Linked DNA regions of Sus scrofa. The protein of the gene in region 1 interacts with the protein of each later gene in a pairwise test. Links are inferred from orthologs where the notes say so. Each region holds a gene or a part of one and is shown in the gene's direction. Other genes may lie near its edges.

Region 1 (7,874 bases):
TGTAACAGCCTCTAAACCGTTCGTCTTGCTTTTTTCTCTTTTATTTTTAATCTGTCCACTGCCACCAGAATTCTTACTCTAAGCTGTCAAGCCGATCATGTGACTTGCCTGCATAAAACCCACCATTGATTCCCTGTCAGCCATAGAAATGAACTCCAAATCCCCAAATAGACTCTCTGACTTGTGACTTTCTTTTGAAAGGTAGAAGTATACTGCACACTTTCCTTACAGCCCCCCGGGGCTGTGTTGTGATTCTTCAGCTCTCTTCTCCTGTGCCAGGACACCTTTGGATGCACTCTTCCCTTGCCCTAGAATGTCTGTTTTTCTCCTTTTTCCCTCCTTTCTCCCCACCCTTTTGCTTCAGTAACTTTTTCTTTTCCTTTTGACGTAGGTAGGCATTCCTAACTGTTTTGCTCTTCCTGTGATTTTATGCAGAATTTTGTTAGCATAAACAACATTTTATTCCTTCTATGTAGTCTAATAATTGTGTTATTTGCTTCATTGTTCTATAAAATCCATGAAAATAACTGTTGTTATACAATCATAGCATTACTATAAATCGTTGTTTTCAAGAAAGCATCTGAAATAATAGTAGACCATTTATTGACTAGTCATTGTATTCCTGGCAGCTGGTAAGAACTTAATACTTGTTATCTTCAATCTTTGCAACAACCTTGTGTGGTAGGTGCTATTGTATTATTATCCCCATTTTACAGTGTGGGAATCTTAAGAGCTATAATACTTCCTGGGTCTTCAATGTTAAGATGTGGCTGGGTAGGACTCAAAAGGCCTATTCCTTTTACTACACTGATAAGACCCACTGTGTTACCCTTTCTGAAGATTTGCTTGCATCCTAACAAAGGATAAACCTTTTGTCAAAGAAGTGCATATCTAATTGTGGGAATTTAGAAATCACTAAATTGATCAAGGAAGGGTTTTTTGTTTGGTTTTAGTGGAAGACATCTTTACAGCCCTGAAATAAAGACACGTTGCTAGGTACCCCACTTGTAAGCACACTTGAGTGTCTTTATTGAACTGGAATTTCCATGATTTAGATAGTAAGGGAGATAAAGGTGCATATGTTTTAGACAGCTTTATTGACATATAAGTAATGTAAAATAAATTGCATATGTTTAAAGTATGCAATTTGAGGATTTCCTGCTGTGGTGCAGCGTGTTAAAGATCCAGCATTTTCTCTGTAATGGTGCAGGATCAATCCCCATCCCAGCACAGTGGGTTAAGGATCTAATATTGCTGCAGCTGTGGTATGGTGTACTTAGGTCACAGCTGTGGCTCAGATTCGATCCCTGGCCTGGGAACTTCCATATGCCACAGGTGTAGCCGAAAAAGGAAAAAAAAAAAAAAAAGTATGCAATTTGATAACTTTTGACATACTTATCACCACAATCAAGATAACTAATACGTTCACCATCCTCCAAAGTTCCTCATCACTCCAGACCCCTATTCTTAGGCAACCAGTCATCTGTTTTCTTCATTACAGATTAGTTTATATATTCTAGAGTTTTACGTGAATGGAATCATCCAATATATGCTCTTTTGGTCTGGCTTCTTTCATTTAGCATATTTATTTTGAGATTCATCCATGTTGTGTGTATCATTAGTTCATTCTAAAGGTGCCGTATTTTGAATTGTATTTGTTATAGAAAGTAAATAATTATTTTATTTTCCTCTGTTGTGTCTTATTCTTTAGATGGGACTGATTGAAAATTCTTTTGAGCCTAAAGTTCCTTCTGGAACTTGTTTTGTTTTACTATGTGTAAGTCCTTTACATAGAGATATAAAAAACATAACATTTCCTTCTGTAAGAAAGTAAATACATTTTCATTTTCTTTTTTTTTTTTGTTTGTTTGTTCATTTGTTTTGTTTTGCTTTTTAGGGCCACACCTGCGGCATATGGAGGTTCCCAGGCTAGGGGTCTAATCAGGGCTGTAGCTGCCCGCCTACACCACAACCACAGCCACTCGGGATCCGAGCTGCATCTGCGACCTACACCACAGCTCACGGCAACGCCAGATCCTTAACCCACTGAGCAAGGCCAGGGGTCGAACCCGCACCCTCATGGTTCCTAGTCGGATTCGTTTCCACTGCGCCACGATGGGAACTCCACATTTTCATTTTCAATGAACAGTCTTTTAGTCCACTGTTAAGATAAATCTAATGTAAAGTCAGGCAAAGTCTTTTTTGGAGTATAATATTGCACTTCTGAAGACTGTCTTCTTGACCCTTCTGGGAAAATTCTGGGGAAAACCCTTCTGCTTGGTCTCAGGTGAGAAGTGGATATTTGAAGTGGTTATCGCAGAACTTCACACTGGCATTAGTTAGAGATATTAAACGATAAAGTGCTCAGCAGTAAATATGATTTGAATGGCTTGTGTTTACACTGTATGGGAACTCGAATGAGAGAGAAAATCAAATAAATTATCCACCCAGTCTTGAATAATTACATTTCAACTTTGTCATTTAATATTGAGAGGGGAAAATTTTTAGCCTACTCTTTTGGAAAAAACAAGATGGTTAAAGATCCATTATTAATTCTATCATAATCTCACCCTCCTCCCTTTTAAAATTTTTAGGTGGGTATAACCCATATATAGAGATTACGGAACAACCCAGACAGAGGGGAATGCGTTTTAGATACAAATGTGAAGGGCGATCAGCAGGCAGCATTCCAGGGGAGCACAGCACAGACAGCAGCCGAACATACCCGTCTATCCAGGTAACAGATCGTTCTCCTCTGCGTGTGTGTGTGTGTGTGTGTGTGTGTGTGTGTGTGTGTCAGCTGCATCATGTTTTCACTACAGCAGTTACATTAAAGACCCAGCTTCATCACAGTGATCGTCACCAGCTTTTCCTCCTTTTTTTCTTTGTAATTGATCCATACTGCATAGATCTCTAGGCACATTTCTTAAATAAAGTATAGAGTCTTCATCCCTGCAGATTGTTATATATTGAGTGTTAATCTGTGTAGAGTGATTCCCAGTGCTTAGAGTACATCGGCAACTTTTGGATGACAACACCTTTAATGGAACAAAAAGCTAATGAGGAAAAAGCATTCTTTCCTTCCAGTGGTGAGCAAGATTGTTCTGGAGATTAAAAACCTGTATTTGGAAATTCGGAATTCTTCCTGCAATCACTTGGCTAATCTAGGGGCTATGGAAAAAAGAGCATTTTTGCCTTTTTTCCTCTTTACGTTTATTGCCTATCCCTGATACTTTGGATTGCATTGACTGATTTGAAATATTGTCACTTTTTAAATATAGTTTTTTCATATTAACATAAATTTTGAAAGTAGTTTTTGATCCAAAATGACTTTGTTAATGTACTATATTTATAGAAATACTACATTTATATTTTATGTTTATATACTACATTTCATTAGACCCCTAGCCTGGAAACTTCCATATGCCTCATGTGTGGCTCTAGGAAAAAAAAAAAAAAAAAAGCTAATCTTCTACTCCTTTAAGAGTGATTTTTAACTCTTCTCCATAATTCAGCTTATTCTGTACATTCTCTTAACCATTTCTAAGATCTTTATCCTTACCATTCCAGTAGTTTCTAAACAACTTTGCAGCTTGAGTTCCACTTGAGCCTACCTTACACTTTTAAGTCGTTACCTTGTCTTTTATTCAGAAAGGCAATAAATACTTTCTGATTACTGTTCAAATTAGGTTTAAATTCAGAATTATAGATTTTAATGCCCACTTATCTATGAAGCCACCCATTCTTACCCAGCTGCCTCGCTCCCTTGTTTGCTGGTTTTTATATTCCTTGCTTTGTGCTTGCAAATTTTCCATCTTCCAGAATAAAGATAAACTCCTCCCTACATTGTGTAGAGTCCTCCTTCCTCTCCCATGTTTAACTCTTCATTCTCAGTGTCATAGATCTACTTACTATGTGAAAACTTAATTTTGCAAAACAGCCTAATTTGTTGCCTATGGTACAGTGAATACTTGGGATACACTTTCTGATTTAAAAAAAAAAAAAGATATTTTTGTGAAATGAAATGTCATGTATTAAGTAACAACCATACTTGACCATAATGGTGGCTTAAATGTGTTCCATTGTGGCTTAAATATATACATTCAAGGGATGTTTATGGTATGACAGTGAATATAAGAGCATTGCATTCAGTGACTCAACATCTTAGTATTTCCTCATGCTCCATGATAATATTTTGGTATAATTTTACTTGTTTTAAAAGGAAAATGGAGTTCCCGTCGTGGCGCAGTGGTTAATGAATCCGACTAGGAACCATGAGGTTGTGGGTTCGATCCCTACCCTTGCTCAGTGGGTTAACGATCCGGCGTTGCCGTGAGCTGTGGTGTAGGTTGCAGACACAGCTCAGATCCCGCATTGCTGTGGCTCTGGCATAGGCCGGCGGCTACAGCTTCGATGAGACCCCTAGCCTCGGAACCTCCATATGCCGCGGGAGTGGCCCGAAAAATAGCAAAAAGACAAAATAAATAAATAAATAATTAATTTAAAAAAATAAAAGGAAAATAAGGGAGTTCCTATTGCGGCTCAGCAGATAAAGAACCTGACTAGTGGAGTTCCTGTTGTGACGCAGCAGAAACGAATCTGACTAGGAACCATGAGGTTGCGGGTTCAATCCCTGGCCTCGCTCAGTGGGTTGAGGATCCGGCATTGCCCTGAGCTGTGGTGTAGGTCGCAGACACGACTCAGACTGGCATTGCTGTGGCTATGGTGTAGGCCAGCGGCCATGGCTATGATGTGACCCCCTAGCCTGGGAACTTCATGTGCCATGGATGCAGGCCTAAAAAAGACCCCTCCCCCAAAAGAAGGAAAATAAGCAGAATGAGGTGATATGACCGATTAAAATTAGGACACAGAATAATATGCCAAGAAACTGAGTGGTAAATTCTTCTCTACTGGTATTCTCTGCAAAGTTTCTTCCAAACTGCACTTGATAATCATTTGGACTTTTATTTATCCAATGCTAACTAATGTATATAAATTGAACCCTCATTTAGTAGATCAGTTCTTAATGAGATGTATGTATGGATCATATATCTGATTTCCCTCCTTTTCAGATTAAGAACTATTTTGGAAAAGGAAAAGTGAGAATTACATTAGTAACAAAGAATGACCCATATAAACCACATCCTCATGATTTAGTAGGAAAAGACTGCAGAGATGGCTACTATGAAGCAGAATTTGGACAAGAACGCAGACCTTTGTGGTAAGTACACAGTCACAAACATTTTCAGGAATAGGATAAACATAGGATGCTCTTGTTTCCTACCCATGTACATCTGTTATTTTCTAGCGGAATAAACTGATTCCTCATTGTCCTTCTATTTACTATAGTATACATTTAAATTTTCTTATCATTTATAAGAACTACCCTTTCCTCCTTTTTTAGTAGATGTGGCCCATGATGGTAGCAGGTATACTTCTTTATTGTTACTAAAAGCAAACATAAACTTATTTTATGCTGCAGTTTTCTTTCTTAGTCTGAGCAATTTATTAAAGATACTCTTTTTTATTTATTTATTTATTTTAGTCTTTTTAAGGCTGCACCTGCAGCATATGGAGGTTCCCAGACTAGGGGTCGAATTGGAGCTATAGTCGCTGGCCTTACACCACAGCCACAGCAACAAAGGGTCTGAGCCACATCTACAACCTACACCACAGCTCACGGCAACGCCGGATCCTTAACCCACTGAACAGGGCCAGGGATCGAACCTGCATCCTCATGGATGCTAGTCAGATTCGTTTTGCTCAGCCATGACAGGAACTCCATGAAAGACATTCTTTTATAAATTTTTGCTATGTCTTTTCAGTAATAGTTAACTTAAAAATTGCCAGATACGGCGTTCCCATTGTGGTCCATTGGGTTAAGAATCCAGCTAGTATCCATGAGGAGGCAGGTTTGATCCCTGGCCTTGCTCAGTGGGTTAAGGATCTCATGTTGGTACAAGCTGTGGTATAGGTTGCAGACACAGCTTGGATCTAGCATTGCTCTGGCTGTGGCATAGGCTGACAGCTACAGCTCCGATTCATCCCCTAGCCTGGTTGCTGCAGGTGTGGCCCTAAAAAAAAAAAAAAGAGGAAAAAATTGCCAGATATGAGAAAATCAACCGGAAAACTGTAATTATTATTTGAAAAGAGCACTTATAAAATTAAAACAGTTCTAGGATTTTAAAAATTGTATAACACTTTGTGTTGGCGAGACTGCTGGATGGGTCTGTTCATCCTATTGGTGAGAATGTAAATTAATAAAATCTTTCTAGTAGGCATTTTAACAATTACACAGCAAAAGCCTGAAAAATATGAAGTGTCTTGAACTAGCAATTCTGCTTCTAGGAATTTTTCCTGAGGAACTAATTACTTCTTTTTTCTTTCTTTCTTTCTTTTTTAATAGGGCCGCAGGTGCGGCAAATGGAAGTTCTCAAGCTAGGGGTTGAATCAGAACTGCAGCTGCTGGCCTATGCCACAGCCAGAGCAATGCCAGATCCAAGCCACATTTGAGACCTACACCACAGATCACAGCAAAATGCTGGATCGTTAACCTGCCGAGCAAGGTCAGGAATGGAACCCACATCCTCATGGATACTAGTCGGTGTGTTTGTGCTGAGCCACAGCAGGAACTCCCTGAGGAAATAATTTCTAATTAAGCATGTTCAGACATATAGCTATAATGATGTTCATTGAGGCTTTGTAATGGCAAAAAGAGGAAAGCCAAATAATAAACAGAAAGGGATTGGTTAAATAAAACTGGCACATCCATACAGTGTATTCCTATTTAGCCTTAAAAATAATATTGCAAGAGTTCCTGTTGTGGCGCAGCAGAAACGAACCCAACCAGTATACATGAGGACACAGGTTAGGTCCCTGGCCTCGCTCAATGGGTTAAGGATCCGGTGTTGCCGAGAACTGTGGTGTAGGTCACAGATGTGGCTTGGATCCTGAGTTGCTGTGGCTGTGGGCAGCAGCTGCAGCTCAGATTTGATCCCTAGCCTGGGAAAAAAGTGTACATATTCATGGTAGTATAAACACTAAGATGTCGATAGTAGTTGGTCCCTGGGTAGAAGAATTGTGAGGTTTTATGTTCTCTTAACTGGTGTTTACTTTATAATTCATTTTTTATAATGAACTTGTATTGCCTTGGAGGAAAAATGAAACATTTCAACAGGAAAAAATTAGTAGCCTCCTTAAATTCTATTTAGAAAATATTTTAGTAACCTTTAGAAAATATTCTTTTTTGTTTGTTTGTTTGTTTTTTAGGGCCACTCCTGTGGCATATGGAGGTTCCCAAGCTAGGGGTCCAATTGGAGCTGAAGCCAGTGGTCTATGCCAGAGCCACAGCAATGTGGGATTTGAGCCACGTCTATGATCTACACCATAGCTCAAGGCAACACAGGATCCTTAACCCACTTAGTGAGGCCAGGGATCGAACCTGCGTCCTCATGGATTCTAGTTGGGTTCATTAATCGCTGAGCCATGACAGGAACTCCATAGAAAATATTCTTTAAAAACATTCTTCTTTTACTTACAACACAAAACATAAAATATTTAGTTACACAAACTTGGCAAGAAATAATTCCTGTTTATATTATTTGACCTCCCAATAGCATTTTACATTGTATATTACTCCTCTCTTGAAACATTTTTATTCTTTGATTTCTGATTTTATGAAAACAAACTCTCCTGTTTTACTTCTTACTTGTCTGGCTCTTCCTTCTCAAACTTTTAAATTTTTGGACTACTGTAATTATGTCCAGCAATGCCTGTTGGAACTGTCGTGTTATTCTCAAAATAATGTTTCAGAAGATGTGATTATCAGTGTTTTTCCATTGGTGATATTAATTAGCATTTTGTTGTAAAGGAAA
Region 2 (7,228 bases), on another chromosome or scaffold:
ATTGCGGTGAACTGTGGTGTAGGTTGCAGACGTGGCTCGAATCTGGGGTTGCTGTGGCTATGGTGTAGGCTGGCAGCAACAGCTCCGATTAGACCCCCTAGCCTGGAAACCTCCATTGTGCTGTGGATGCCCTAAAAAGACAAAAGACAAAAAAAAAAAGAAGAAGAAGAAGAAAGAAGGGATGGAGTGGGATCATTGTGTCAGATCAGAGGCAGAGCTCAATAATTTGAAAAAGCAGTTTTTTATATATGATCCATTTCCTAAGAGTGAAAATTCTTTTTTTTAAATGATTTTTTATTTTTTCCATTATAGCTGGTTTATAGTGTTCTGTCAATTTTATTTCTTTCTTTTTTTTTTTTTTTCTTTTTGTCCTTTCTAGGGCCGAGACAGCATATGGAGGTTCCAAGGCTAGGGGTCTAATCCGAGCTGTAGCCGCTGGCCTATGCCACAACCACAGCAACTCTGGATCCAAGCCGTGTCTGCAACCTACACCAGAGCTCACTGCAACGCTGGATCGTTAACCCACTGAGCAAGGGCAGGGACCGAACCCAAAACCTCATGATTCTAGTCGGATTTGTTTCCGCTGTGCCATGATGGGAACTATACAACAAAGTGATGCAGTCACACCTACATATACACATTCTTTTTCTCACATTATCCTCCATCAAGCTCCATCATAAGTGACTAGATATAATTCCCAGTGCTATACAGCAGGATCTCATTGCTGATCCATTCCAAAGGCAATAGTTTGCATCTATGAATCCCAGATTCCCAGTCCATCCCACTCCTTCCCCCTCCCCTTCCCCCTCAGCAACCACAAGTCTGTTCTCCAAGTCCATGAATTTCTTTTCTGTGGAAAGGTTCATTTGTGCCATATATTAGATTCCGGATATAAGTGATATCATATGGTATTTGTCTTCCTCTTTCTGACCCTAAGAGTAAAAATTCTCATGACCAATAGTAAGGGGTGAATGATAGAGATTATGGTATATCCATAGGACAAAACATCTGCAGTCATAAAAATTTGCATTTTAGAAAGACATTTAATGACAAAATTACATAAGCTGTTAAATTTAAATGGCAGGAAATAGGTATAATATAAAAAACATATTGTAGCTAAATACACACACACGCACAACTATGCCTAGAAAAAAGACTGGAAGGAATCAGGGTGATTATTTTATATGTTCCTTCCCCTTCCCCACTCCTGCCCCAGTTTCCTACAATGAACAGGTATTAAATAACTATGTTCCTGTAGTAATTCTCTAATAGAACTGAATTTGAAGATATCATCCCTGTGCTGCTTTACCTCTAGGTTCTTTGACATTTGCAGATCTTCCTGAGACTATCATGGTCACATCTAAAGCAGTTCCTAAAATTAAGTATATATGGGCATTGAAAGCAGGGAAGGAAAGAGGGAATGGAATGTATTAACCTTTAAAATGGCTGTTTCTTATAACTAAGAAAACATCGTGTAATGAGAAAAATAAGTTGACATAAAAGCCATGTAAGCTTCATTCCCTTGTACATGTGCTAATTCTGCATCAAGTCTGCTTTTTTGATCAGGCTTCTAGACTGTTAACACTTAGAGGATGTACAGGCTGTGTCTTACATTATATATTGAATTAAAGAATGGATTGCTTACTGTAGTCCAGGCATTGTGCTGAGCATATTGTGGTGAACAATGGATATGTCCCCTAAACATATAGAGCATATAGAATAGAAGGAAAAGATAAGTGAATAAATAAGTTACCAGAGTTCCCATCATGGCTTAGTGGAAATGAATCTGACTAGCATCCATAAGGACGCGGCTTCCATCCCTGGCCTTGCTCAGTGGGTTAAGGATCGGTGTTGCCGTGAGCTATGGTGTAGGTCGCAGATGCGGCTCAGATCTGGCGTGACTGTGGCTGTGGTGTAGGCCAACAGCAACAGCTCCCATTCAACCCCTAGCCTGGGAACCTCCATATGCCGCAGGTGCAGCCCTAAGAAGACAAAAAAAAAAAAAAAGTTACCAAAACTCAATGAGTTTTAGAATGACGGGGAAAGGACAAAGGAGACAGGTCTGGTCTGGTGAACCTCTCAGGACATAATGTATAAGATTGACATAGAGGCTGCTTGTACATACATGTTTAATTGGTAAATGAAAAAGATTCTATAAACTGATTCTTGGGTTCATACATAATTATGGGTTAAAAATACACTAAAAGATCCAAACTGAACTGCCTTTCTAGGCTCATGTGTGAACAAACCTACACCCTTCAGTGAACCGGGGATTCTACAGACTAAGAATAACCCGGAGCCAAACTGAACTTTCAAGGTATCTCTTGAAGTACTGAGCTTGAGCTGAGCAGGCATCTCTAGAACTGGACAAGAGTCAGATCTGCTGGGGAGGAAGAATAAGGGGGAGTGGGATTTATCCAACACTTATTTTTTTTCCGTTTTAGCAGGAAGTCATTATGTGACTAATACGTTTTCAGCAGATTTCCTCTGATTTACCCTGAAGTGTATGTGAGGATGATGTGCACTGCCAAGAAATGTGGAATTAGGTTCCAGCCTCCGGCTATTATCTTAATCTATGAGAATGAAATGAAGGGGAAAAGTCGCCAGCGCATTATGCCAGTCCGAAACTTTTCCAAGTTTTCAGGTACCTTATGTTTTATCTTGACTCCTACCTTAAATATTCCCTGAGTCACTTTATAAGAATGATTTGAGTCTTCTGTAGTGGAGCAGCATGGCTTTCAGAGTTAGACAGACCAAGGTTCAAGTCGTGATGTCGGGGTAGGTGTGTGACCTCCACTAAATTAGTTACTCTTGGTAAACATCAGTTTCCTAATCTGTAAAAGGAAATTGAGAATCCCACCCTTTCAGATCTGCAATGTGGGTTAACTGAGATGGCAATATTCAATAGTATGAATTCCCTTCTCTTCCTCAAAGGTGTTTTTTATTTGTAGTCTTGATATTTTCTTAGTACTTGTACAACTATCTCCAGCTGTACTACTGCTTTTTCTTCTTAGGTGTTTTCTCTAGTTAAAAGTATTGAATGTCTCCTCAAAATGATTTTTTTTTAAATTTTGTACTAAAATATAGTTGACTTACAATATTGTGCCAATTTCTGCTGTGCAGCAAAGTGACTCAGTTATACATATATATACATTCTTTTTTGTATTCTTCTCCATCGTGGTCTATTCCAAGAGACTGGATATAGTTCCCTGCACTATACAATAGGACCTTGTTGTCTTCAAAGTGCGTTTAAGCTATGGAAATAAAAAAATACATCCCTCCTTCCCCCACCACATTCAAAGCTCAGTATAAAGAAATAGTTCTATAAAATAATTCATTCCCCAAAAGCCACTTAGCTACTGGACTGTAATGGCAGGTAATGCTTGCAGTAGTTTGTGATGCCTCAGTAGTTTGTGGTGTTGTATGTGGTATAATGGTTTTTTGTCTCCTTCCTAGATTGCAGCAGAGCTGCTGAACAATTAAAAAATAATCCACGACATAAGGATTACCTGGAACAAGTATCCATGAGGCAGCTAGAGAAGTTATTCAGTTTTTTACGAGGTTACTTGTGGGGACAGAGTTTGGCAGAAACAATGGAGCAAATTCAACGGGAAACAACCATTGATCCTGAGGAAGACCTGAACAAACTAGATGACAAGGAACTTGCCAAAAGGAAGAGCATCATGGATGAACTTTTTGAGAAAAATCAGAAGAAGAAGGACGACCCAAATTTTGTTTATGACATTGAAGTAGAGTTCCCACAGGATGAACAACTACAGTCCTGTGGCTGGGACACAGAGTCAGCTGATGAATTCTGATACCCCACACTAGAAATAATAATAATAATGACAATTGGGTAGCAGAAAATCCATATTTATACAAAGAACATAGATTGGGTTTAGAAAAATCTGTAGAGAACACTATCCCTGTTGGGTTATGTTTTGATTGGCCAAGTTACTCTTCAAAACCAAGATATGCAGAACATCTACTATGTAGGTGCATGTGGAAGATAGAAAAAAAACAGAATATAGGACTCTGCCTTGAAGGAGCTTACAATCTAATTGGAAGTCAAAACCTTGTGAAAAGCTAATTATTGGTACTGGGCAGCAAAAATATTAGATCCAAGTGCTTGGTAAAGGCTAGAGAGGGTCAGAACCTAGATTATTAAAGGGTAGAACAGCCAGGGAAGACTTTGTCCTTTAGGGGTAAGGTGGCACTTTGCCTGGCCATGAAATGGCAGCATTTGGGTAGAAGCTTATATGGGATTCTATAGATTATATAGATTAGAGAAACCGGGAGGGAAAAAAAGGGGGGGAGAAGGGGGATCAGTAAAGAGATAGGAATTAGAACATTTTATTTGAGGAGCAGTAAGGAAATTATAGTTTGATAAGATCAGAGGGCATATATAGTTATCAGGGGATTATCCTGTCTGCATTGCTTCTATATGTGTTTAACTCTGGAGTAGAAGAGTACCCTGCAGAATGCCATGCACTTGCAAGTGGACGTAATTGGATGGACAGCAGGGGAGTTCTTCCCCCTCAGTATCAGGAAATATATGCTAAAGACATCCTGAAACCCTGGACCTTTTCCCATAAATAAGAGGTTTGTTTGTAAAATGGGAAATCTACCTGTAACAAATAAACATAGGTACTGCCAGTTTAGGCCTATTCATGAGTTTGTAACTACAAAGAGAAGATCTTTGTTGAACAAGGTTATATATGTACAAATATGTCTTTCTTCATAATAGAATATTATTTAGGAGTTCCTGTTGTGGCACAGCGGAAACGAATCTGATTAGGAACCATGAGGTTGCAGGTTCGATCCCTGGTCTCACTCAGTGGGTTAAGGATTCGGCGTTGCCATGAGCTGTCATGTAGTTTCCAGACATGGCTCAGATCTGGCGTGGCTGTGGCTGTGTCGTAGGCTGGCGGCTGTAGCTTTGATTAGACCCCTAACCTGGGAACCTCCATATGCTGCAGGTGTGGCCCTAAGAAAAAGAAAAAAAAAATTATTTAATTTGTAGAGATCTTTTCTGCAAGGAAATTACTAGTAAATTGCAGTTTCATTAAAACTGTAAAAGTTATTCATTCTTTCTACCTGTCCATCCCTACTCTCTTTACCATTAAAAGCCTCATTGAAGAAATCATTCTTATAATGATGTCACCAAGGACTTAAGATGGCCATGTCTCAAAGGTATATTTGCCAAAGGAAGCAAAAGAGTTTTTAGAACTGGAAACCCATAACTACACAGTGTTTCACGGTGTAGATATAGATGATAGATTTTAAGAGTTGACCTTAGGTTGTTTTCCCCTTTCACTGTTATAAACAATGCCACAGTAAATAATCTAGTACATTGCCTATTTTCCAGGACTATCAATGATGCCTGGAGGGGACTTGCTGGGTATGTGCATCCTGAAGTTTAATAAGTATTGTTAGATTGTCCTGCAAAGCGTTTCATTCATTCAGTAATGTACTTGCTGAGCCTGTACTGCTATGGAGTCTGGGGATCCAGCAGTATGTACAACAAAGCTTTTGCCTTTACAAGGTGTGCCTTTACAGAGTTTCCTTGTAAGGTCTACTTGGAGCAGAGAGATGACAAACATACATAGAATAACGTCATATGGGAGTTCCCATCGTGGCTCAGTGGTTAACAAATCTGGCTAGGAACCATGAGGTTGTGGGTTCGATCCTTGGCCTTGTTCAGCGGGTTAAGGATCCGGTGTTGCCACGAGCTGTGGTGTAGGTTGCAGACACGGCTTGGATCTGGCATTGCTGTGGCTGTTCCCTAGGCTGGGAACCTCCATATGCCATGGGAACGGCCCTAGAAAAAAAAAAAAAAATAATAACGTCATATGATAAGTGCTTAGAATTAAAAACAGGGTAAACGGAGTTCCCGTCATGGCGCAGTGGTTAACGAATCCAACTAGGAACCATGAGGTTGCGGGTTTGGTCCCTGCCCTTGCTCAGTGGGTTAACGATCCGGCGTTGCCGTGAGCTGTGGTGTAGGTTGTGGATGCGGCTCGGATCCCATGTTGCTGTGGCTCTGGTGTAGGCCAGGGGTGCCAGCTCTGATTGTACCCCTAGCCTTGGAACCTCCATATGCCGAGGGAGCGGCCCAAGGAATAGCAAAAAAGACAAAAAAAAAACCAAAACAAAACAGGGTAAAGGAGAATGGTGGTCTAGGCACCATTGTTTTTGATAGGGCCTTCAGAGAAGGCCTTGCTGAAGACGTGACATTTGAGCAAAGGCCGGAAGGAGGTAAGGAAAACTAAGGTGCATTTCAGAGGTTGTGGAGAAAGGTATGCCCATAGGCCTCCAGAACTGGAATGTGCTTGGTATATTTGAGGAAGATTAAGGAGGCCACTGTGGCTAACACAGATAGATCAAGCAAAAGAAAAATTGTAGGAGAAGAAGTTGGAATGTATTTTACCTCCACGGTACTTACCCTGAAGGTGGTGGCAATTTAAACTATTGGCGTTATGTAAGAGTATCTTTTCCCCACATGTTCATCAACAGAACGTATTATCAAACTGGATCTTTGTCAATTTTATAATCTAATAATGGTATCTCATCATTTTAATATGCATTTCTTTTATGAGAGACTGAGTATCTTTATATATGTATTTTATAAGTCATTTTTTGTGAAATAAAAATCTTATGTTCTCTGCTCATTTTTCTAATGGTCTTTTTTACCTGATTTCTAAAAAGTTGTTTTTTTGTTTTTTTTTTTTTCTTCTTGTTAGGGCCGCACCTGCAACATAGGGAAGTTCCTAGCTTGGATCAGAGCTGCAGCCACCAGCTTAGGCCACAGCCACAGCGATGCCAGATCCAAGCCACATCTTCGACCTACACTACAGCTCCCAGCAACACCGGATCCTTCACCCACTGAGCGAGGCCAGGGATCTAGCCTGCATCCTCTTGGATGTTAGTCAGGTTCATTTCCGCTGACCCACAACAGGAACTCCTGCAAAAATTTCTTTATTAAGGAGAATAGTCCTTTGTCTATGATAATGAGTTGCAGCTATTTCACCTTGTCATCTGTTTTTTGACTTGATATTTTTTCCAGAAAGATTTTTTCAAGTCCAGTTGATCAATATTTTCCTCTATGTTTTTGCATTTTGTGTCATATTTAGAGAGGCATTTTTCACTCCAAGATTTTTTTTTTTAATCCCATGATTTTTTTCTGTACAGGAATTAATCTTTGGTAAATTATGAGATTACTTTTTTC

Evidence for each region.
Region 2: the proteins of REL (region 1) and CEP19 interact in binary tests that used the Homo sapiens proteins (3 or more experiments, as listed by UniProt). The two-hybrid records come from large-scale screens. The link is inferred for Sus scrofa from reciprocal best matches to the Homo sapiens genes REL and CEP19.

Annotation. Positions count from the first base shown.
Region 1 is NC_010445.4:80,896,511-80,904,384, reverse strand, and holds part of REL (proto-oncogene c-Rel), read left to right. Parts: intron 1-2,594; coding exon 2,595-2,737; intron 2,738-5,072; coding exon 5,073-5,221; intron 5,222-7,874. UniProt on the Homo sapiens protein: Proto-oncogene that may play a role in differentiation and lymphopoiesis.
Region 2 is NC_010455.5:133,421,722-133,428,949, forward strand, and holds the end of CEP19 (centrosomal protein of 19 kDa), read left to right. Parts: intron 1-2,444; exon of another isoform or gene 2,445-2,477; coding exon 2,478-2,644; intron 2,645-3,456; coding exon 3,457-3,818; 3' UTR 3,819-6,673; downstream 6,674-7,228. UniProt on the Homo sapiens protein: Required for ciliation. Recruits the RABL2B GTPase to the ciliary base to initiate ciliation.